Coturnix japonica: one gene and its partners. The protein of the gene in region 3 binds, or shares a complex with, the protein of the main gene of each other region. Links are inferred from orthologs where the notes say so. Each region holds a gene or a part of one and is shown on either strand. Other genes may lie near its edges. The genes, in order: ERCC3, POLR2L and GTF2A1.

The links.
Region 1: GTF2A1 (region 3) and ERCC3 share a complex: the UniProt entries of both Homo sapiens proteins name them as parts of the TBP-based Pol II pre-initiation complex. The link is inferred for Coturnix japonica from reciprocal best matches to the Homo sapiens genes GTF2A1 and ERCC3.
Region 2: GTF2A1 (region 3) and POLR2L share a complex: the UniProt entries of both Homo sapiens proteins name them as parts of the TBP-based Pol II pre-initiation complex. The link is inferred for Coturnix japonica from reciprocal best matches to the Homo sapiens genes GTF2A1 and POLR2L.

The regions. Positions count from the first base shown.
Region 1 is NC_029522.1:23,165,717-23,173,864, forward strand, and holds part of ERCC3 (general transcription and DNA repair factor IIH helicase subunit XPB), read right to left. Parts: intron 8,131-8,148; coding exon 7,894-8,130; intron 7,677-7,893; coding exon 7,627-7,676; intron 6,824-7,626; coding exon 6,688-6,823; intron 6,497-6,687; coding exon 6,332-6,496; intron 5,323-6,331; coding exon 5,118-5,322; intron 4,316-5,117; coding exon 4,001-4,315; intron 3,653-4,000; exon of another isoform or gene 3,196-3,652; coding exon 3,011-3,195; exon of another isoform or gene 2,877-3,010; coding exon 2,674-2,876; exon of another isoform or gene 1,595-2,673; intron 1,004-1,594; coding exon 907-1,003; intron 665-906; coding exon 547-664; intron 1-546. UniProt on the Homo sapiens protein: ATP-dependent 3'-5' DNA helicase/translocase. Binds dsDNA rather than ssDNA, unzipping it in a translocase rather than classical helicase activity. Component of the general transcription and DNA repair factor IIH (TFIIH) core complex.
Region 2 is NC_029520.1:8,949,406-8,956,547, forward strand, and holds POLR2L (DNA-directed RNA polymerases I, II, and III subunit RPABC5), read right to left. Parts: upstream 3,493-7,142; 5' UTR 3,410-3,492; coding exon 3,315-3,409; intron 3,172-3,314; coding exon 3,063-3,171; 3' UTR 2,879-3,062; downstream 1-2,878. UniProt on the Homo sapiens protein: DNA-dependent RNA polymerase catalyzes the transcription of DNA into RNA using the four ribonucleoside triphosphates as substrates.
Region 3 is NC_029520.1:37,060,746-37,068,893, forward strand, and holds part of GTF2A1 (transcription initiation factor IIA subunit 1), read right to left. Parts: intron 7,191-8,148; coding exon 7,115-7,190; intron 4,400-7,114; coding exon 4,266-4,399; intron 3,444-4,265; coding exon 3,123-3,443; intron 1,600-3,122; coding exon 1,510-1,599; intron 358-1,509; coding exon 250-357; 3' UTR 1-249. UniProt on the Homo sapiens protein: TFIIA is a component of the transcription machinery of RNA polymerase II and plays an important role in transcriptional activation. TFIIA in a complex with TBP mediates transcriptional activity.

The DNA of each region.
Region 1 (8,148 bases), on a different chromosome or scaffold from region 3:
AAATTTATTCTCCACCTGACAGTTATCAATAATTTCCTCTGAAATATGACCACTTCCTAGGGAATACTCGTTCTATCTAAACTAAGTGCCAACAGGCTGCAACATAAACCGATTTATATGCTTTATTCTAACATGGTTTATACAAATTCACAAGTTTAGAGGAAAAAAATAAAAGGAACAGCAAATGCTTCTACTAATGCTATGCTGATTTGATACAAGCTGATCGTAAGTTCTTAAAATAGAAAGGGGCGAAAAATGCTACTTTGGCATAGTAAACCACTGTAACAGGAGGGGAAATAAAATGCAAGGAAGTATTTAAGAAAGAATTCAGTTCTGGTTAAAAAAAAGTGGAGAAAGGAAATAAGAGATGCTGCAAGTGAAAGATAAAATGGCATCCATATTACAACAGAAAAGGAAACCCAACAACTACCTTCTTACTCATGATACTGAAGTTTATTCAGTCTATGTTTCAGTATCCTAAACAGTTGAGTAATTATCTGAATGCCGTACTGTATTCCAAAGAGCAGAGCCCAACAACTACCTCACCTTTTTTGGCTCTCAGTACTCGCCCCAGTCTTTGAGCCTCCTGTCTTCGAGATCCGCCGTGGGATGAAATCTGGATCAGAACATTGGCTTCAGGTAGATCAAAGGATGTGTCACCCACCTGCAAAACAGAAGCGGTGTCTGAGCAGCATCTTATTTCCATGCATCACCAACAACAGCTTTGTACAAAGGACACCTTTATTAGTTGCAATAATAGAATCACAGTATTATCAAGGTTGGAAAAGACCTAGAAGATCATCTAGTCCAAATAAATAAAACGTCAAATGCCCAATGTGTGTGTATAGCATGTTCTTAGATAAGGTTCACTCTGAAGATGAGTACAATAACACACCGCATCCTCACCTTTGAAATGAAAATGGTGTTGATTTTTGGATTGTGCTTGAAGTTTTGTAGAATTTGCATTCTTTCTCCTTGTGCGGTAGGACCATATATGTATGGTCTGGAAAAAACAGAACACATGCAAATTAAACCTATTTACAGTGTCTCATTTATTAACAGGTACTAAGATATCATGGCAGGGAGCTCATTACGTGGTGATTTAAACATATTAATAGCTCGAATGGAAAAAACAGCATGAGCTACGTGACTCTGGATGGCAGACTCAGGACAGAGTAAAAACTGGCTTAATAAATTTGAGTTCTGAGGCCTCAAAAGTTAAAGTCAAAATAATTCCTGTCACGTGCATGTTCCGTTCCCTGCTAGTACCAAGGGAACGGGATGGGGTAGAGTAGGAGCTGGTGCAGCAGCAGTCACCAGGCAATGCCAGTTTCCCTGCACTGGTGAGCCCACCAGCCCCACATGTTTGAACCAGGCAGTGGAACCAACGACCAGCACAGCCAGGCAGACACAACCTGGGCTACTACTGCAGCATCCAACAACCAATAATTCCTGCCACACCCAAACTAGCAGTTCCCTTTTTATGCCCAAAGCCAACTTTGAGCATGTCCATGGCAAACTACGGTTAGAGAGCTTTTCTGTTATGATGTTCTCTTTCATCTAGCACTGCAACTCCTCTTTCTATCTCTTACAGCTGTATAAACTGGAGATCCATACAAATCACGTGGGAAGGAGAACCGAGTCAAGAATGTGAAAGGCAAGCACCTAATATTTCTTTAGACAGTTCTCCTGCTGTACTTCTGCAGCATTTCCCATACTTACAAACCGTTAGGTTACTTTGCGAGCACCCTTTCAGGCGTGTGCCTTTATTAAAGGCTCTTGCTCTGCGGAGCACTGCACACTGCGAGCAACATTCCAGAGGCATCATTACAGCTAATCTCTGTCCAGACAGATTTAAAACATGATGAAAGAGACCACGGGTGTTGGAATTCATCCAGAACTACCAGCTCTGCTGTGAGATGCACACTAAGCCACAACAACGTGGCCATTAAACTAGAGTGAAAAGCAATCACTAATTTCGGAAAGCGCAGAAAGATTTGTTAGCAGTTGTGCTGAGTACTGTCAAAATTCAATAGATGTGAAATCATACAGTCAAAATGCCCCGCAGCTTCCAGTAATCAACACATCATTTGAGCTTGTCGCAGAAAGCACAAGGCCAGCTCCTATGCTTATTTTCCCCAAGGAGCTGCTGTATGACTTGATCCTCACAAACATTCTCCCTGGTCATCCCTTCCCAAGCCACTCAAACACATTGAGGTTTAACCCCTCAGTCAACTCTAGTCACAATAATTGTATAGACATTTAGGGCAGACGATCCTGAAAGATCCCCAGTGCACATCTGAAAAGATTCCTGACAGAGAGACAGGAGAAGCTACAGTCCATTATAGAAATAGCTCTGAAAAGATTTCTAAAGGCTCCCTAGTTTTGCCAAGTGGCTTTCAGTAATAAATCAATAAATGGAGAAAGTCAGATGAAAACCCCTCTGAGCCAAGTGCTAAACAGAGATTCTTTTCAAACAGTTCTACAGTGGAATTAATGTTCCAGTGCCTATAAAATCCATTCAAAGAGTAGTTTCCTGAGCTCCTCTCATGTGAGAATTGTAGTTGAAGTATTACAACTAATGTCTAGAGGTTACTAAGATCTGTAAGATCACAAGTTGATTTTCCAGGAAGGAGGAAAGCAACAGCATCATCGTTAGCACTGAACACTTACTTCCCAAGTCTGATGGCGTACTCCTTCAGTGCAAACACATTGTCAGCAAAAACAATGATTTTATCATTCCGTCTCTCGTGAAACTTAATCAGGAACTGGCAAGCTCGAAACTTATTTGGGTTCATGGTGTACAGCAGTATCCGCTTCTTTGTTTTGATGGCTACGTATTCTCTGTAAAATTCAGGTGACATTGGGCACCAAACCTAGAATTAGACAATTTACACAGAGTAAATCCCAGTTATCCACTTAATTCCACTGGAAATTAAATCTATATTAAAAAATTAAAGCTATAAGCATGTTAAATATACACCAGTAGTACTGAAAAGCAGAACATCACCTCAGCACATTGGACTTTAGCAATGTAGCCACTGTTCTGCAGCTCCATCCAGTTGGCCTCATAGAGCTTTGGTCCAATCAGGAAGTTCAGATCAACAATTTTATCATCTTCTCTGACCAGGGTGGCAGTCAGTCCCAGCTTACAATGAGCTTGTACAATAGTGAGCACACGTCTGAACATTTTTGCTGAGAAACACAAGACACACTTTCTGTTTACTTTCCCGAACGGGTTTAGAATACAAGCACTGCAATCTTACAAGTTAAAAAAATCAATCATTAACTCCTAAACACAAAGCAAGAATGGTCTTAGGAATTATCACCCCATTTTACATACACTTCTAACAGTATTCTGTGTCACGGCAAAACTTCACATTGATGTCAGCTTTAGTTTGCACCTTTAATGTACTCTAAAAAACCCTTTTGCATTTGTATTACTTCCTGCTTCCCAAGAAGAAAAGTAATAGAGAGAGACTTATCTTAGCCATGTTGTATTTCATCAAAAGATGCTAACACAAGAACTCTTGGCTGACTTTGCCACATTCAGGACTAATATTAATTTCTAACATTTATCTTTTGTATTGTTTCAAATCCTGTTACCTTAATTTTTATGAAATGAATAAAAGTGAAAGAGCTGCACCAGCAACGTGCTGCTTGGTTCATCAAAGTCTACCCCAGAAATCCATCATTTCCAGTAGAGACCAAATTATATTCAAGTTAAAACATGACAGCAGCAAAGAAGAGCTGGGTGGTACACACTGCCAGGATAACTGCACAGACACTCTAATAGCACATCACTGCTTCCAATAGTCTGCAACTACAACAGCTATTTCTGGACAGTTACTACTACTGTTATTCAAATTTAATGGAATAGAAATAGACAGTAACACCTAAGCCTACAGTGCAATTGCATCTCAAAACCAAAGATGGCATATTAACTCCTGTACGTACATACAGTACATACAGCATGAGGGTCTGCACACCATTTACTTACCAGGAATAGTGTGCACTTCATCGAGTATCATAAGGCCCCACTCTCGACTTTTAAGCCACTCCATTACTCTCTCTGCTTCCCAGGATCTTTTAGTCGTGTGTCCCAACATGGAATACGTGCTGATAGCAATAGAGCAGTCAATGGGCTTATCTTTGGCATCAGAGGTGAACCGACAGATCTGACTGTCATCAATGGTGGACCACATCTTGAACTGTGCTTTCCACTGCTCTACAGACACTGCAGAGTTACCAAGGACCAGACACCTCTTGCGGACAGTGCACGCTGCTGTCACTCCAACTAGAGACTTGCCAGCACCTGTGGAAGGAGCAATATTCATTATGGGTATCATTGGAATAGAAAGAAAAAGAGTGAAGGACAACAGTTGTGTGAGGGAATATGAAATCACACTGGATTGCCCACCACGTGCTGTTGTCTTAAGAAAATCATCACAAACGCTGCTTTTGCCAGTTTGAAGCAATCAGACTGTTTTCTTCATTTCAAATATGGGATAAATTCCAGGTGGCTACAGAACGCTTCTACTAGAGGCCATCCCCCATACAGCCCCTGCAAGCAGTGTACGTTATACCACGTAGCAAGTCCTTATGTCTTCCCATTCCTGCTTCAAATTTCCTCCATCATCCCTTACACACTCTTTGAGGCCTTCCTCGTATCTCCTGCACTGCCACAAGCAGTCTCCCATTCTCTCCCTCCTTAAATGCTTCCCATGGGTTGTCTCAACCTTCTTGCTTGCACCCCCAGTTCCTCCACCTCCCCGTTTTCACCCAAGGATGAAATGATTCCAGCGCCAGCAGTTCTACATCTCACTGGAAGATCAGCAGAGCTGACTAGGAGGGCACAAAGAAAAACGTTAATGGTGATCTATCACAGCTATTAAGGAACTCTTCAGCCACTAGAGAAACAAAACACCCTCACCGCTCTCATCACCCACTTGCTAAAAGCCATCAGGATTTGGCATACTTGTACCCAGATCAGTCCCTATTACAGTTCGAAGCCCAAGCAGCTGTCAGATTTAAAAGTTACATTATTGCAGGCAAGTAAAGAACAAAATCTCTAAGGAAGAAAACCCTTAAAAAAAATAATCAATGCAGTAATTTACCACATGGCAAGACAATAACACCAGATCTGGCTCGTCCATTTCCAAACATCTTCCTCAGGCTTTTCTCTTGATAGGGTCTGAGGACAGCTGTAGGTTTCAGATCTATATTAATATCAGGATTCACAGAATCATTTCTGAAATCATATTCTGCCAGCAAGGGGTACTCCAAATGGATACAACGCTTCTGAAGTTCTTCAATCATCTCCTGAGGAGGAGACAAAGCTTCAGCTGCTAAATTCTCCACATCTGAATTATTACATCATTTAACAATTACTGATTACGCAGTGCTACATGAAGTCACGTTTAATTTCACGCTCATTAAGTCTGCATGAGTTGAAGTTGGTTTCAATAACTTTGTGACGACCCACCTGCTCCAACATTTGAAACAACAGCCCGTACTACAGAGAGCTATTTTGACAGATGGAAGTGTGAGACACATTCATCTGAAATGTGTTTCTCATCTGGCAGTGACTGAACTACACTCTGAAGCCCTGCAACAAAAAAAAGCTCAATAACAAACACAATAAGTCCCGTGTGCTGCATGGAAAGCCCTGCCAAAGCAGCACACCTGTAATAGGGAAGAACTTCATACCCTGACAGTGCAGTTACTCCACAATGACAGGTTGATTCAGTCACCAGAAGTTGTTTCCAGTTCTCAAGTACTTCTTTGGTTATGATAAAAGTTCTCCTTTCATTACTTCTGTCTTCCCCAGAAAAGCATCATTAGAATCACCATGCAGCAACAAGACAGGCCTTACAAAATTCCTCTGAGGGCCAAGTCAGGACTGTGCTCTGACCTCCGGCTTCTCAAGCTGGGAAAACAGAGCCACCAAGAGCTTCCTCTGTAAGTATCAATTGTGAGGAAGAAAAGCTCTGAAACTAACAGCAGATTTACTCTCCACTGAATCCTCATCAGCCCTGCACAAAGCAGCATCAAGCCGAGCACAAACAGAACCTCCCTGAGCTTCTGGAACCTCTCTAACTTGTGAATGACTGCACTCTGTGGGCAGAGAAAAGAACGTTCTGCAATCTGCTCACTCTGTACCGGGAAGGAATATCCCAAGACTTTGGAAGGCAAAAGGAAAGAAACATTATTGGCTTCCAGTGACCTCTTACGTTAAACAAGGAACCACTAGATATTATCTCTTACACCTATTAGAGTCCAGGGCACATCCCCTAAAGCTACACACGCTAAGAAACAAAGGTGTTCATGCCTGCTTGACTTCAAAAGACACTGTCTGTGTTTCTTCCTCCTCCTCCTCATCTTTGTCCATCTGCTCATAAAACTCATATAAATCAGCTGGGACATCCGGCTTGTTTTGAACATCTGCTTCTTGTGACGTGGATGGACCAAAGCCACTTTCACTGGACTTGGAAATCTGAAAAAGACAGAAAAGACCAAAAGATTCGCTAGAGATGCTCCCCAGGACACTCATTGAAGTGGGGTTCATTAACAGGGCTGACAGGAATGAAAACAACTGCTGACATAACTAACGCACAATAATGATTCCAAGCTACCGAGCAGCTTATCTCATATGAATTCCATCCTTTTAAGACACGCCGCACGTACCGCTGATTTACTTGTGAATGTCTCTGTAATGAGCTCCGTTTCTTCACCTTCGGCATTTCTCAGGCGACAGTCTTTAATAACGTGGTCTTGCAGAAGCTGCTGGATGACATCAGGATGGGTACTTTCCACAAAATACCTACAAGAAAAGGACAAAAACTCCACATCTCTACGAACTAATTGATACAATAACTTACAGAAAAAAGCAGTACGTGCTTAAATCTACAGCCCAGAAGCACTCAAATGTAACAATCTTCCCTCCTTCAACTTAGAACCTTTCCCCCTTGTCCTTCCACTATCTACCCATGCAAAAAGTTGATTTATCTTCTGCTTATAAACTCCTTTTAAACACTGGAAGGCTGTAATGAGCTCTCCCCGCAGCCTTCTCTCCTCCTGACTAAAAAAGCCCAGCTCCTTCAGCCTGTCTTTGGAAGAGAGGTGCTCCAGGCTCCCCAGGGAGGTGCTTGAATCGCCATCCCTGGTTGTGTTTAAGAGCCGTCTAGATGTGGTACTTAGGGATATGATTTAGTGTAGGGTTTTTAGAGTTAGGGTACTGGTTAGGCTGCAGTTGGACTTGATGATCTTCAAGGTCTTTTCCAACCTAGGTAATTCTATGATGGATATCTTTGTTGCCCTGCTCTGGACCCTCTTCAAAAGCTTGATGTCATCCCTGTGTTGGGACTCCAGACCTGGATGTTATGCTTCAGATGGAGCCTTACAAGGACAATCGGCCCCCTCACCCCGCTGGTCACCCTTGATCCATGCAGCCCTTTCTCTTGCAGCCCTGGATATCACTGTCCTTCCAGGCAGCAAACACACGCTGCTGGCTCACGTTATGTTTTTCATCTGCCAGGACCCTGACGTTCTTCTCAGCAGGGCTACTCTCAAGGGTTCTTGGCAGATCTCTTCATTCACACCAACTATGCCAAAAGCAGCTTTTACCTGTTGCGTTTCAGCACCAGCTTCACCTTCCCATAGCTGACCGTACAGAGCTGCAAAAAGACAGCAGCAGTCATTAGGAATAGAACACACCAACATTTATGGAGCTACATACAGCAGAGAAAGGGAAAACGTAAGATAAAAGTCTCTGCTCTCTTATAACAGAATACAGTAAGGTGGTAAAACATTGAGCAAAAGAAAATGTATATAAAACAGCAGTAATGCAGATAGAGCAGAGCGTCAGATGGTGTTACATCAATGCAGACTGACCTTGATGAACTGGATGATCCCCTCTGGCACGCCGGTCTTGCTGAGTTTCTGCAGGTACTCGGTGATGTCGCTGGTCTGCAGGCCCACACTGACGGCAGCGTACAGGGAGTATGCGGTCAGCTTGTACTCGTGGATGTGGGTCGGTCTGCACACGGGCTCAGCAATGGCAACTAGAAAATCCTGGGCGTATTTGTAAACAGGAGAAAAGGCTTCCAGGAAGATATGGCCGTCAGGAGCCTACAGCGACACAACGAG
Region 2 (7,142 bases), about 28 Mb from region 3:
CATGATATTTGACACGTCTTGTGGTGAGCAGATACATTAGGAAGGAAACTGTGGGGAGATTCAGGGGCTTCGTGTCTTTGGCTGTATGTGACAAGGTGTAGGTCACCAAAACTTGTGACCAACAATGGCAGAAAGGTGTGGAGTACAAATAAGAACGAGGCTCAAAAACTCAGTGTTCTCTGCATGACTTGGCTCTACATCTCCTATATATTTTTACATGAGAGTGTTAGAGAGAAATAAATGAGTGTTTGCTACTCCCATGGAAATACCATACTGTTTTCCAGCACTAGCCCGAAGCGCAACCGATTGCCCTGCAGCTCTCCCCAGGTGGCCAGAGCTGCTGAAGCCAAGGATAACTTGTTAACTTTATTTTTTTTCAACAGTCTTACATACTTGAGGCACAGGAAACTGAGTTCTGCAGCACAGTCTGGATGCTCTTTGGGTGTCCAAGTCCTGGGTACCTCCAACAGCTTTTCTTAGAAGAACATAATAAAACAAATTAATCCTGGACTCTAGGTGGTCAGAGGCACTGCATGCTATCAGGCCATTTGAAGTCCCACTGAAATTAATGAGAAGACTCCCACAGGCTTCAGTGGGCAACACATCAAACCATGTAGCACAGCAAAGCCAACATGCCTCTGGTCCCTGGTTTCCAAATCTCTCCATTGTGCTGTTCCTGTTGAAGAATTAAAAATGCTTTCTTGCTGGTGAGTGAAGCTGAATAAGAACTGGATCTGAAAACAAAACCACTATGTAAACAACAAAGCTAACATGCTGGAAATTAATTTGGAAATTAAAGCTGTGCTCATCATCTGGGAGGTCAAAGCCAGGAGGGAACAATGTTATTTTGGAGATGTTTCATCCGAGCATTGGCAGGAGTAAGAAAATCTTGCTGTCTAACTAAAGCTCATATTCTGCTCAGGGAAGGGGCTGAGTACGAGTGCTAGTTGGGTTCAGTATTGAAAGTAGAAAACACTTGGAATTGGGCTGCAGTTTTGGAGGCAAATAGACTGTGGTGGTTTCCTTCTCCCTTTCTGTGGAGGTTGCCTTCTCTTGTCTGGAACTATTAGCAGGAAAAGAGGCAGCTTGTGGTTTAGATCCTTGTGGTTTGTTACCAATTAACATAGACTTGCAGCTACATTGCAAGTTAGGCATCTCTATGGAAACTTACAGCTTTAGGGTTGTGCATTGACTGTAATGATGATTTTCAGGTCTAGTTTCTAAACAAGCAAAGGTGAAAGCTGAGATTTATAGAAATCCAATGAAAAAATCACTTATTTTTTAATCAGGATTTAAGTTCTACTTCTGCTCCTGACCATCTCAATGACAAAACTCCTGAGAAAACCTTTAATACAGACACGATGAAGCAGCTGCTCAGCCGCGTTACAGAAATGGCTTTTTGGCCAGTATTATGCTTAGAAAAGGTGCGATGCAGGCAGGTTGTTGTTTGCTGCTTGGAGGAATACTAATGCTTGCTGTGACTTAGTCCTGCTACTCGCTGCCGTTTGCTGCTCCTTGTGTAACAGCTGGTTAATACAGCGATAGCAGAGTGGGCGTTGTTGGCGCCCACAGCATCACTTTCTCTGTCTGAGAAACAGTAATATGAGCAACCAAGCTGGCTTTTCTTGTTCCTGAGAAACTCTGGATGAAGCCTGCTTTGTTTTTGCAAATTGCTTCTTCGTTATAATGTTTTAGAGTCACAGCTTTTCTTATCAATTAACTTAACCTTGTGCTGGTATCTGCTTTGCTTTCAGAGTAAGAAACAAAGCTCTGTTGGCTCTCTGATCCTTTGGTGCTGATGCCTGGCCACCTCAGTTGGAGGCAGCGGTCTGGGCTGCTGTGCTGTCTCAGTACCTGGCATTTGGAGCTTCCTGTGTGCAAGTTTACATGCATCTCCACATAATGCTCTGCTGTAACATGGAAAGGTCCTACAGGATTTTAGCTGGAAACAGTCATCTTATATTTCATAGTGTCCCTTTTTAAAGACAGCCAGAAAGAGTTGTTATTAAGTGAATTTTGTTGTGTAATATGGCAGTCACACAGAACAAAAGCTATCCCGCAAACTGAAGGGGATACTAGAGTTGCTTAATTCTCTTTGCATTAGGCTGAAGTATGTGGTTTTAGTGTCTTTGCAGAACTGCTGAATATGAGAAAACTTAGCCACTATCCCATTGTAATAAATGGAAAAGTTAGATCAAGTGTAGAGATTGGTAGGGTAGTAGCTATAGCCAGAGGCTGGCTGTCCTCTAACTGTTCTTTCTGAGACAATCTCTTCTTGAGGTTTGAGCAGAGAAGTCTGATCCAGCAAGCAGTGGAAAGGTGGGTTGTTTTGGCCAGGCAGTCCCAGGCTGCACATACATCCTATATGAAGCCAATGAAATGACTGACAAGTGGGAAGCTTGCACTCATACCAGCAACAGAGCAGTGCAGGTGTTTGGCAAGACTCTGATCCTGTTCACAGTTACATGCATTAATTCTCACATCCATTGCCTTCAGATGTATTTTACCTAAGTGAGGAGCACTGCGCCACCTGATTTACTGTTTTCTGTGATGGAGCTGCCAGTCTGCCCCAATTTTTAACAAGACACTATAGGCTGACTTCAGTGAAAAAATGAGCTCCGCTAGCACTGCAACCTACTAAGAGTAATGCCTCATTCATAGCAAACAAACATCCTCTGTGCTGTTTCTGGAGCCTGGAACTTTGCTCTCTTTCTAACCCCCCTTGATTGCCCTAGCTTCAAACACTGTATTTCTAACCTCAAAATGACCACTGTGAGGAAATAGTGAGATGGAAGTGTATGCTGAACTCTACCCAGCAACTCCAGGAAGGCCACAGGCAGAGGCTTCCTCTAGTTCAACATTTTACATAGACAAATGATTGTATTTCATAAAACACATTTATTTTTTACGGGCAAAAGCATCCTAAAGTTCACAAAAAGAAACCAATAACAACCTGTATGTAATTAAAGAGAAACATCTACATATGTAAGCTGTAGCTGTGAAGTGGATGTCGGCCTTCATTTATTTCCTTGGGAGAAGCTGGTGGCTGGGTCAATCAACTCTCATTTCTCCAGCGGTGCGTAATTCAACAGCTTCTCAATCAGATCCACGTGTGCCAGGAGCATCCTGCGGCAGCAGTAGCGCTTCAATCCGAGGGCATCCAGGGCATCTCTATTAACAAATAACAACACGATTAAAAGAAATAAATACAAAACGAGTCAGAACCGCTCGTAAGTGCTCCTAAGCAACGCAATGATTGCTCTGAGCTTAGTTTAAAGCAAGGTATTAGCGTGTGCTGTTAATATGACACCCACCCCTCGGTGTACTCCGCCTGCAGGAGCCCGAGATACGCCTCCCACTTGTTGCCCACGATCTTGCCGCACGTGAAGCATCGCACCGGGATGATCATGGTTCGCACAGCGCCGCTTCCTCCTGCAGCTGCCCGAGCGCAGCCCTACGGCCGCTCCCACTGCACCGGGGGGACACGGGCGGTGCGAGCCGTTCTTGCTCAGCCGTGAGGATGCAGAGCGGCGCTGGAGCTCCCCCGTTCCCGCACAGGACGGCGGATGGTAGCGGCCGCCCTACGGCTCCTTGCGCGGCTCAATAGTGTTTGCGAGCGGGGCGGGCTGCTGATCGCGTTTCGCGTGCGCGGCGCGTGGTGGCAGCCGGGGCCGGCGGAGCGCAGAGCGGAGACACCGGCGGGGCGGGCTGAGCCGAGCCGAGGAGGCGCCGTGCCCTTCCCTCCCTCCCTCCTTCCTTCCTTCCGCGCTCTCACTTGTTGCTTTACACCCGGACTTCTGCAGAAGGCACTTCTTCATCGCGTCCTGCTCGAGGTACCGCAGCCGCGCGGGGTGGAAGCGCAACTGGTGGCTGCAGCCCGGCGCCAACCAGCGGGGCACGGCAGCGCTGTGGGACGGGGCAGCACGTCGCACTCCCCTCCCTTTTCCTCCCTTTTCTTTCCCTTCCCGGTGCGCGCACTGGTAGCGCCAGGCGCGGTCCGTCTCGCGGCTGTGTTGGCGTCCCCAATTTGGGGCGGTTTGCTCCGTGTCCTCGCTCCCCTTTGGAAGGGGAAGGAGCCGGGCAGGGGCTGCGCTCCGTGAGCTGCGCTCGGCGCCGATTTGCGCGGCGTTGCCCGCTCATTTGGAGGAAGCCGGGCTGCGGAGCGCTGCCGTGGTCAGCGGGGTAAGCGAGGTTAGCGGTCCCGTGGCGGCGGCAGGTCAGTCGGGAGTTGCTGAACTCCGGGTCTGGGGGCTGTGGGGGGTGATGTGGGGGGGTTCAGGGCTGCCCGCTGTAGCGTTCCTCGGTCTGTCGGCGAGCCGCGCGCAGCGAAAGCAAACGGGGCATAAGCCGTCCTTGAGGCGCTATCCCGCTCCCCGGAGGGTGGAGGCGGCCGTGGCACCGCGAGCGTCGCGTTGCAGCTTTACTGGCTGCCCCCAGCCGGGGAAGTTGGGCTGCAGCGGGGGATGCGTCGTGAAGCCGCGTGCGATCCTCCCGTGTGAGCGTCGCGCGGAGTGCTGCGCTATGCGATGCTTGTAACTTGAGGGCGGCACGTTGCTGTTCGGGACAGACTGGGTTAAAGCGTCACCCCGAGCGCTGTCGGTCCTTAGTGCCCTCTTGCTTCACGGTTGTCCTTGGGCAGAGCGGGGATGCACCCAAAATACTGTATTTTGCTGCTGGAGCATCTGCGAGTTGATACGGCGCGCGGCGCAGAGCCATTACTGTCAGGCGTATAAAGTCTTAATGCACAGCTTATGTTAATACGCCTTTCGTGCCTGTGTTTTGGACCGCTGGGTTGCTGACCCTCCGCGCAGACCTAACTTGAACTGTAGAGGAGCAAATAGTTTCGTTTTAACCGGCGAGGTTGTTTGAAGGAGGTTTTGCAAACGTTTCCTAATGAAAAGACAGCGATTTTTGCAGCCCCGGGGAGTGATTGCACTCAGCTGTGTGCAAGCAGCACGGCTTGGCTTGGAGGGTGGAGAAACCTCCTGCAGATTGTTATCGTTATTGTTGTTTCAGGCCAGTGGGAGCCAAACTCTCTTTTCTTTTTCTCCTTTGCTTTCTTTTCTTTTGGGGGAGGGAAGTTGAGAATTTGGAGACGATGCTTTGATGTGTTTTCAGCACCAGGGCTCCAAAGCAATTTTCTTGTTGAACTGTGACGTGCAAGGCGTTTGTATTTGGAGACAGACATTTGCTGATGGGAGGGAGAAAGGATGGTGGTGGTGGGGTGGGGGGTTATTGTTGATGTAGGCTGGATTCGTGCAGCTGCCCGGAGGAAGTGCTCTTGTTTAGCTTTTAAAAACGAAAGCAGGTTTTAACTTTCCCACCCAGTTCTCACATGCAACTTTGCATCTCTCTTGAAGGAAACTTTCCTCTGCTGTTTTCACAGCGTTTGAATTTGCCTTTTCTGGACATCCTGCTTTGACTGCTGGAGATGATCTTAGTAATCTAATAGCTCTATTGTGGCTGCAGCTTGTTTGATCATAGAAGATGTGAGATGTTTGATCTGTGACCTGAAGAGATTTCTACACGCTGATGACGTTCTTTGCCTGACTTCATGTATGGTCTGCTCAGTCTGAGCACTTGCCAAACCACAGAAGTCTGTTGGAGGCAGGGGAGATGTGTGCATGTGGCTGTTAATACTCCCAGGCAGTGTTTTAGGGGCTGTAGTTCACCCTGGTTAGGGTGTCATTTTCTGCTTCCTTGTCAGGAGTGAGCTTCAATCATTGCTGTGCTACCTTCCAAGTCTTCTTTTCAGGTGGGCTGCCAGCTGTTGCAATTTGGTACTTAGTCAAGTTAAGACTCTAAGCATCTTTCTGAAGAGGGATATAAACTGGAAGAATTGCAGGCTTATGTCTCCTTAGGCATCCTTCTGAAGAAGGAAAGGAATTGCAGGAGTTGGTAATCCCTCACAGGTCTCTCTTACAGTGTTTGTAAGTTCTCATTCCACTCTTGATCTCCTGCTGCTTGGAGCAAGCAGCAATCCTCAGAGCTCTGCTTCTTTGGGCTTTCAGTAGTCAGGGAGCCCATAGGGGTGTTCCTCAGCTGTAGCAGAAGAGGCTTGTCTACAGCTGATTGAGTTGAAATGCTTGGAGAACTGTAGGCTGGTTTTCTGATGTGCTTCTGGAACAGCTTCTGCCCTGTGAGGCTTTGTTGTGAGGCGCTGCAGTTACATCCTGCTTCTTGGTTAATGCAGTGCAGACCTTCTTCCTGCAATGCGAAAACCTTTGAAAGCCACTAGTATTCAGTCCCACCATTGCTGTCGGGCTGAGGCTCAGTATTAACTTTCTTTTGTTCCTTTAGTGAACTTAAAGCTGTAAAACGCATCCGAGCACGATTGTTCCGCAGCACTCCTAGCAGTGAGTACTGAAACTCCAAACTTGTGACTAAGCGGCGTATCCTTCTTCCTTTTCTCTCATCCTCAAAATGTGACAGGAAAATATTACTGCTTGTTTTAAATAAAAAAGCAAACAACAGAAAAAAAATCCCCATTGAAACAGCCAAGTGCCCCGAGTGACCCAACTCATCTTAAAATACTCCTATGGTTCCAGCGACTTCCTGTTGCTCGTGTTGGCAGGTTGTGTCTTTCCTGACCTTGTCGCTGTGGTTGGGGCTGTAGGCAGAAGTTGTGGGATCTGCACATTTGTGTTGGTGTGGTGAGAAGCCGTTGGCTGGTAGCTGAGGTTGTTGTTGTGTTTCGTGGGTTGCTTTTGGTCAGGGTTAGGTGTGCGTTCTCTCTGGCCTGGAGACTTCACTGCTCTTCACCCGTGATCTGCATACAATATAGGTGATCCCCAGAACTGAACTCTTGGGTCTGTACGGGTCTGGTTTGCCAGATGCAGTTGTGTTCAAGGACAAAGGATTGCTTAAATCATAGACTTTTCAGAAGAAACTTTCAGTGACAGCGTTCTTATACTGCTGATCTTAACTTGCAGCTTTCTGGATATCTGTGGCTGATGTTGCCTTTGCAGGAGCGTAAAGCTGTGTTTCCTGTCTCTTCCTGAGGTCCTTTAGAGAAAGAATGTTCAATTTTCCCTCTTCCTGGCACCAGAATTGCGTGTGTGGCTGCAGAAGTTGTTGGTATCACATCCAGTGTCGTGCGACTCCGATCTCAATGAGCTGAAGAGGAAGAGCTTGCCTGAATG
Region 3 (8,148 bases):
CTGATAATTAAGGTATTCCTAACACACAAAACCAGCTCCCAGACAATGCTATAGCTGCTACAGTCCATGGCTTGCTCATCTGAAGTAGTGTCTTTGTTGCCACATTTTACCTTTGTTCCAATACTTTTGTTTATGCTTCATGTGCAGAAACACATTTTGGTTGGAGAATATGTCCAAGTCTCAACCTTTCCTGCTTTTGAACATTTTTTCCTTTTACAGGGAGTTTTTGTTTTGTTTGTCTTAAAAACTTCACCATTCTGCATCCCCAATGGCTTTGGAAAATACATAATCTCTTCCATTAAGATTCATGATGCCATCCTTGAGATGAAATTTCCATTTGTTTTTACTTCTATGGATCTAAACATAGGGAAAAAAGTTTAAGTTTTATTCTGCAAAAGAAAGAGGCAGTAATACATAAATTATACAGTAAATTATATCAGCAAGAAAAATGAAAACAACAATTAAACACGCATTACTAAACTACTATGAACATTTTGAAAATCAATTCTGCATTTAGTAGCATCTAGTTGGTACCACAAAACTAACATGCTCAAAACTCTGTAATTCTGCACGCATCACATAATTCAGCTATGAAATTTCTCCTTGTAAGACTAAGTTTACTAGGATTCAAAAAACAATCATTCCTCCACCACATAAAGCCATCACTATCTATCCCCAGAGACCACAGAAGGTGGTGGGATGCTTTTTGTGGGCACTGCTACCTGTTTGCCCTCATCTCATTGTGCCATAGGCACCTGCTGATGCAGCACACAACATACTGTGCAAGAGAGAACTCTGTTCAGAACAGCTGAGCTATTGTTTTGGCATTTTATGAAAACAGACTGAACAGTGGTTGGTTGATAAGTAAACACATGGCTCTAGAGTTATAAGATGGACAGTCTCCCCTACTAAGTTCAAGTTCTTTTCAGAGGGTGAGGATTTCAGAGTAGTTGTTCTTGGTCAGCTTTAGTAGCTCCCAACTAGCTTTCCTTACTATTGTTCTGAGATCTCTCATAACTCTCACGAACTGTTTCCAAACTAACAGTTTCTGACTATTATCTGGAAGAGAAGGAAGGCTAGCCTGTAGATACTGATACTAGCTTTCTCAATCTTGAATTCTTTTTCAAATATGAAGTCTAAGCAGAATGCAGAAACAACTGAAGATTTTTTATTCAAGTCATTCTTTGCAATGTAGAGCTTTTTAATTCAACAATGTTTCTTCTGCTTTAGAAAGTACCCTTACTCTTCATAGTGCAAGTCACCTCACAGGTAAAGAAAGGAAATTTACTACCTCAGTAAAAAAAAGTATCCAAGATCCCTTGGACAAATATAAAATAATTCCAAGATGAACGTTCATACGCTGAAGTATTTTGGGGCAAACATACAGGAAAAAGAAGTAGTAATCATAGAGGAGACTGGAGATCATCACACAAGGATATTTCATCACTTAAAATTTATGACTTGAAGGAATAAGAGAACTTAGATTACTTGCATTGTTTTATATTTTACCTTATCGTACTGACACACAACAACATTTTCCGTATCAAACAGTTCTTGTCCTTCCTCATCACTCACATCATCTTCACTGTTAAGAGGCTCCTGAAAGAAACACATGAGAAAAGTTGCAATGTTTAGTAAAGTTATAGCTAATACTTAGATTATTCATGCCAGACAAGGCTACAGTCTATTGGCATGGTCCTACATAAGCATTTGAGGTGTCAACTATTCAGCTTTCCAGCAGAGGGCATACGAGTATTTCTTTTCTGCCTTCCATGATGCAGTCCTTAAGGAGATGTCTACCAATTTTAATGCCCAGTTTCAGAGTTCAGGACAGATTATGGGCACAGCAGTCTTTCATCATCATGTCACATGAAAACGTGACATACCAGAACCACTTTCATTCGTTTATTCTAGAAATTCTAGTGCTTGCAGTGTCTCTTCACAAAAATGTATCCTTATGCACCCTTTTTTTTTCCTAAAGCATCCAAGCAGCGCAAATAAGACACTATTCACATCTCTCTGTAGGTTCCATTAGAAGTAGAAACTCCAGGTCTTACTTATCTGTGTCTCATGTAGCACAAACAGAAACAGATCTCAACACAGGCAGGAAGTTCGTAGAGGAAGAAAAAAGATATTTTAAGATGATGCACAGATAGATAAAAATAACTTCTCCGGATAAAAGTATTTTCACTTTCCTTAAAAATTCCTTTCAGTTTTTTGTCTTTTTTCTACAAGTGGTCTTTCCTCCTCAGAAGTCTTCCAAGTTGTGTCATTATCTCTATTCTTTACTATTTCTTTAGATCTGCGCATGTCTCACAAGATTACAAAATGACACCACAAGGGTATTCACAAGGATCACTATTGAACTGCAAGCCTCATTTCTCCTTCCCTGCACGACCTTCCAACCTGTACTTAAGAGGATTGTCTTAAATCTCATACCTCTTCTAAGGTATATCTAAGAAGATATGCTTCTTATAGATCATTCTCACTGCTTTCCTCAAGCACCTGACCATTAGTGTTTGTCAATACAGAAGTCTGACACGCTACATTCCATGCAGTATGGTGAGAATGCTTCTACAAAAATTTGTCTTTTTTGTGCTTTTAAAAATGCTTTATAATCAAATTTAATTCTCAGGCCCCTTCTAGTATAACATAAGGCAATCTAACAGTGAGTAAAATGACAAACCACTACATCTATTTGTTCTCTCAGTGTTTGACACCCACCTTGTGTCATCCCTCCTACCACCTGGCTTTGGAAAGCACTCTGTCCCAAATGGAGCTGATTATTTCCATTTGCTTATGAAGGATTCATGATATCAGGGCTGACCATTCCTTACTACCAGAAATAATACTGCTGAAGTCTTTAAAAAGGCACTCATCGTAATTAACTTTTTTTTTTTTTGTTATCCCCTGCCACACCAGCTGCATTTCAAGGTGCTTTGATAATAACAGTTTCCACCACGTCAGTATGGGATATAAAGAAACTACAGTACACAGATAGCACTGACATATTCGAGATTATGGGAAGGTAACATTCTTGGAGAATTACAGTTTTCCTTTAAGTACTGTAGGGAAAAAATTAAAAATGAAATACAGGCATTCTGCAATGATGTTAATTTTACCTCTTCGACCTGGCCATCTTCACCTCCATCTTTTTCTTTGTCCTCCTCTTCATCATCATCATAGTCTTCTTCCTCATCTTCTTCTTCTTCAGATGATGTGTCTCCTGCTCCATCAACTTGGAGAACAAGTGGTGCTTGTGGTTGTGCCTGTTGTTGCTGTGGCTGCTGCTGACCAGCTGCAGGAATCTGTGCTTGAGCTGTTGTAGGGGCAGCCACTGTTGTAGGTATAACTTGAGTTTTATTTCCTGTAAACAGGATCTGCTGAGGCTGAATAATCACTCCTGTCTGCTGGGGAATCCCTCCAGGAATTGGAGCCAAAACCTGATGGAATAGTATAGTGCTTGGTAACACACCAGACTACCACAGCACTTACAGAAGACAATTAAGCATATCAATCTGACTCGGACTAATTAGAGAAAGAAGTTACTAATACTCCATCTACATCAGACAGGTAATTAAATCTTCAATAACAAAGCTTCTCTAATTACTTGGTGTTTTTCTGCTCTCAAATTCCAAGCACAGTAGAGTAGCGTTTAAACTCAAATAGGAGATTATTTTTAAAATTTCTTTACAGAATACTTTAACCTGAAATTTGCTACAGACTGTTATTCAGGTTTAAGCTGCAGAACTGTGACACAACAATAAATTCAATGCCTACACAACCTGGACGCACAGTTGAGCTTGTAACTGAAAAAAAATCCTGGCAAAACAACATACTGTATTCAGTAATGAAATGTCCAGGTTTGGTGCAGATTGTTTATATGCTTTGGGTTTTTGATTACTTGCTTGGGTTTTTTTAAAGGCATTTTCCTCTACATATGCTGCAACACAAAGTCATTTAACCGATCAATACTTTTGTGAAAGGATACTGACTAAAATTGTGCACATAATATAATTGTCATTGGACCCACACAACAGCAATTTTAAACCAATACTAGTCTGAATCTTACAAGAATAAAAACATTTGAAACAATATTCCAAAACATTTCATCCTTGAAAACATTCTTAACACAATCCTTTTCTAAATATACTACTTCTGTCTTTGTATACTGTTTAAATCTGACAATAAAAAAATGCAAGCCCATTTAATAACTACTCTCAGGTTTTTACTTTCAAGTGTACCTATTAATTTCTTTTCTTTACCTGCTGTATAACAGGTGCTTGTACGCCACCAGGCTGCATTTGTGGTATGACCTGCTGCTGTAGAACAACTGGCTGCTGTGGCTGAATGATATATTGAGCTCCATTTGCAGTTCTAACTACTTGGAGGATCTGGCCTGTAGTAAGATAAAAACCAAATTAATCAAAGAACAGATATCACCATTTAAAATTAGCTTAGTTTAGAAAGCTGTTTCCTGAAAGAACAACTGTAACAATTAAAGAGCACTGTATTCTGTTTTCATCCATGAAAAGATACCATGCCATAGCAGCTGTGCCAGAAAGGAACCATTTATATGGCTGTTTGCTATTTATCATTGTTAATTATGCAACCCAAGATTAAACCTTTAAAGCAAGACAGTATTTCGAACATTAATTCCTACTTATAAAACACGAGGTGTGTTCCTAAGATAAATTGTACAGGCAGAGTACAAATGAATCACAGAACTGTACAGGTTGGAAAGCACTTCTGGAGATCATCTAGTGCAACCCTCTCTGCTAAAGGAGGTTGCACAAGAAAGTGTCCAGGCAGGTTTTGAATATCTGCAGAGAAGGAGACTCCACAGCCTCTCTGGGCAGCTTGTTCCAGTGCTATGCCACCCTCAAATAAAACAATGATTTTCTCATATTCAGGTGGAACTGTATTCCCATTGATGTTCATCAACTCTTTTCTTTTGTTCAGCATTGCTGAAAAGAGTCTGGCATAATCCACTTCATTCCTACCCATTAGATACCTGTAAGAATCGATAAGATTCCCCTCTCAGTCTTCTCTTCTCCAGGCTGAACAAGTCCAGGTTACTCAGCCTTTCCTCATATGGGAGATGCTAAAGGCCCCTCATCATCTCTGTGGCTCTCTGCTGGACTCTCCACACAAGTTCCCCGTCTTTCTTGAACTGAAAAGCCCAAGGACTGAACACAATACTCTACATTTGGCTTCAACATGATGGAGCAGAGGGGGAAGAACACTCCCCCATGAGCAGCTGGCCACACTCTTTTTATTGCACCCCAAGATACTATCGATATCTGCTGGCTAATGGTCAACAATCTGCACCAGGACACCCAGATTCCTCTCAGCAGAGATAATTTCCAGATAGCCAGCCCCTTACCCTTTACTGGTATGTGTTGTTATTCCTCCCCAGGTGTGGGACTCTGCACTTGAACCTCCTAATATTCCTTTCCACCCAATTCCTCAGCCTGCCCAGGTTTCAGTGAATGGCAGCACAGCCTTCTGGTATGTAAGCCACTACTCCCAGCTTTGTATTATCAGCAAACCTGCTGAGGGTGCACTCTATCCCTTAATCCAGGTCTGACCTCTGGGAAACACTGCAAGCTACAGGGTTCCAAATAGACCCTATGTCAATGACAAGCCTCGGAGCTCTGCCAGTCAGCCAGTTCTCAATCCACCTCACTGGGCACCTGTCTGTCCCCCACTTCCAAAGCTTATCTAAGAGGATGTTACAAGAGAGAGCATTAAAAGCCTTGCTGAAGTCAAAGTACACAACATCCACATGAGTATATACAAATACAAGAAGCACAGGTAGCCACATCACTAAAGTTTTATCCAATGCTGTGGTATTTCTGAGGCCTAGCCAGATAGCATCTCCCTTGTGGGACTTCTGTCCCTTTGATAATCACATTGTAGGAAATCCCTCTGTATGTAACTGTCTATATGAATTTAATGTCTAGTTGCCTTTCTGAAGAGTCTGTCCAGTTTGTTCTTATATTATGTTTCTCCTTCCTTTTTCCACAATGCCTACATTCTGATGTCTATTTCTTTAATTATCCTATAGTTCTATTATTTGACACCTATTCTTCACAAAATACGTTGAAGGCTCATGTTTACAGCTGCCTTTACAGCTTGTTTCCACTCCGAGAAGGGGGAGCTAAGATATAATCCAATACACTCTTTATATTTCTATTCAAATAAAGGAGAAGAAATGAAATTAGACAACCCTCAACTTTACACATCTCCCTAAAGATTGATTTTATTTTCTGTTCTCCTTTCAGTGCAAACTAGAATGCTCTCTTTACTCTAACAGGTAAGTAAATCTGAAAGAAGGAAGAAAATACAGTTCTGCAGACTACCATACCCTGTTCTTAAAGAAAACATACTACAAATATTTGCAACTGAAAAAGAAAACAGTAAGCATAACATAAGAAACAATATAATAGTCTTCTTAAAGCACAGATGTTCTTCCTTAGAAATTAGAAGATCTTAAATTTCTAGAACAGATACACATTCCAATTTTGTTTCAACTGTGTATCCACTACACATTCAGATGCATACAGCGGGAAGGTTAAGTTCCAGATGATTCTGAGCAGACTAAGTGAACTATTCTGGCAAGAAAAGCAACTGATTCTAGGAAACAAACTTTCTCAGGTTTTCCTTTACCACCCCAAGCAACTCCACAGGTTTGAGGCAGACTGGCTGGAAGACTGCACGAAGAAATGAATCTGCGGGTGTTGGTCACACTTGGCTTAACATGACCCAGCAGTGTGCCCATATGGCCGAGAATGCCAATGGCGTATCAGAAATAGTGTTAGCAGCAGGAACAGGGAGGTGATTGCCCCTCTGTACTCAGCACTGGTGAGGCTGCACCTGAGTACTGTGTTCAGTTTTGGGCCAGTAGTGTCCGTTTTCATGAACATGTCTAAAAAGCAGGGAAGACCTGCAAAGAATCTGTTAGGTTTGCAAGACTGGTGAGCAACAGTCCAAGATCTAGTTTTCCCTGATTTTGATATATGAACAATATACGTCAGCAAGTAAAATCCACAATTTCTCTCTCCCAAGCAACCACAAAACCACCACATGACCTCAGTGTTAAGAGAGTTACCTGAATTTGTAAGTATCTGCTGAACAGGAGTAACACCAGTAGGGAGAGCCAACGTAGCTGCAGTAGCAGCAGCACTCTGAAATACAAGAAAAGCTTTTTAGGAAGTATTATTGCCACTGTTTCATGTTACAACATACTGCCTGAAACCATGTACCTCTCCCGACCTACTAATAAAATACTGCATGGCTTAGGAGGCAGTTTTACATTTTCAAAGCAGCTAAAGTCATGAGCCCACAAATTTGAAGATAAGGTACTTCAGCAGTGACTATGTTCACTTGTTTTCACAAGGAGCAGCGATCAGGTTTGCACTTTTCTTCATTCTACAATTAATCTACATTTCAAGTGCCAAATAACACAATTCTTTCAAGTGAATATACACACACAGCATACTGACTGCTCATAGAATTACTTATTTTTTTCTCTCAAGACAGTTGGTTAGAAGAGTCACAAGGACTCTCAGTGGGTAGTGATTCTATCTTACAGAAATTAAATTTTAATGCAATTCACATAGTTTCAAACACAAAAATCTGCATTAAGTCCTTGACTCATATAGGGAGACAGATTTCTCCAGAGGTTTTTCTACTTCACGTGTCTAACAGCAGTTATCTTTTGAAAATCCTCCCTTCCTCACTACAGAGGAACCATGAGAAATTACCCTCCGCAACTGAAAGGATTTAAACTTCATTACTGGGTAAAGTACATAACATCATGGTTATAAGAAATATAATCTCCCCTTACTGACTGATCCATATAGTAGTAATATCACTTCCAAAATAACAGAAAAACAAGCAAAACTCTAAAGTGGTTTTCTGCATTCATATATCCCAAAGGCAGATAGATAAATTCTCATTAGTTGCCGTTCTCCAAGACATTCGAGGTCAGATACGTTATTTAATACCAACCTAAAAGCTTATTAGAAACACATAAATATTCCAACTTAGTTCTATAAAAAAGTATTTATTGAATAGTAGTCTTCTGCAGTTTACAGTTCTTTCTTGTTTTGACAGCACCTGAGTTTTAAAATCCCCACAACC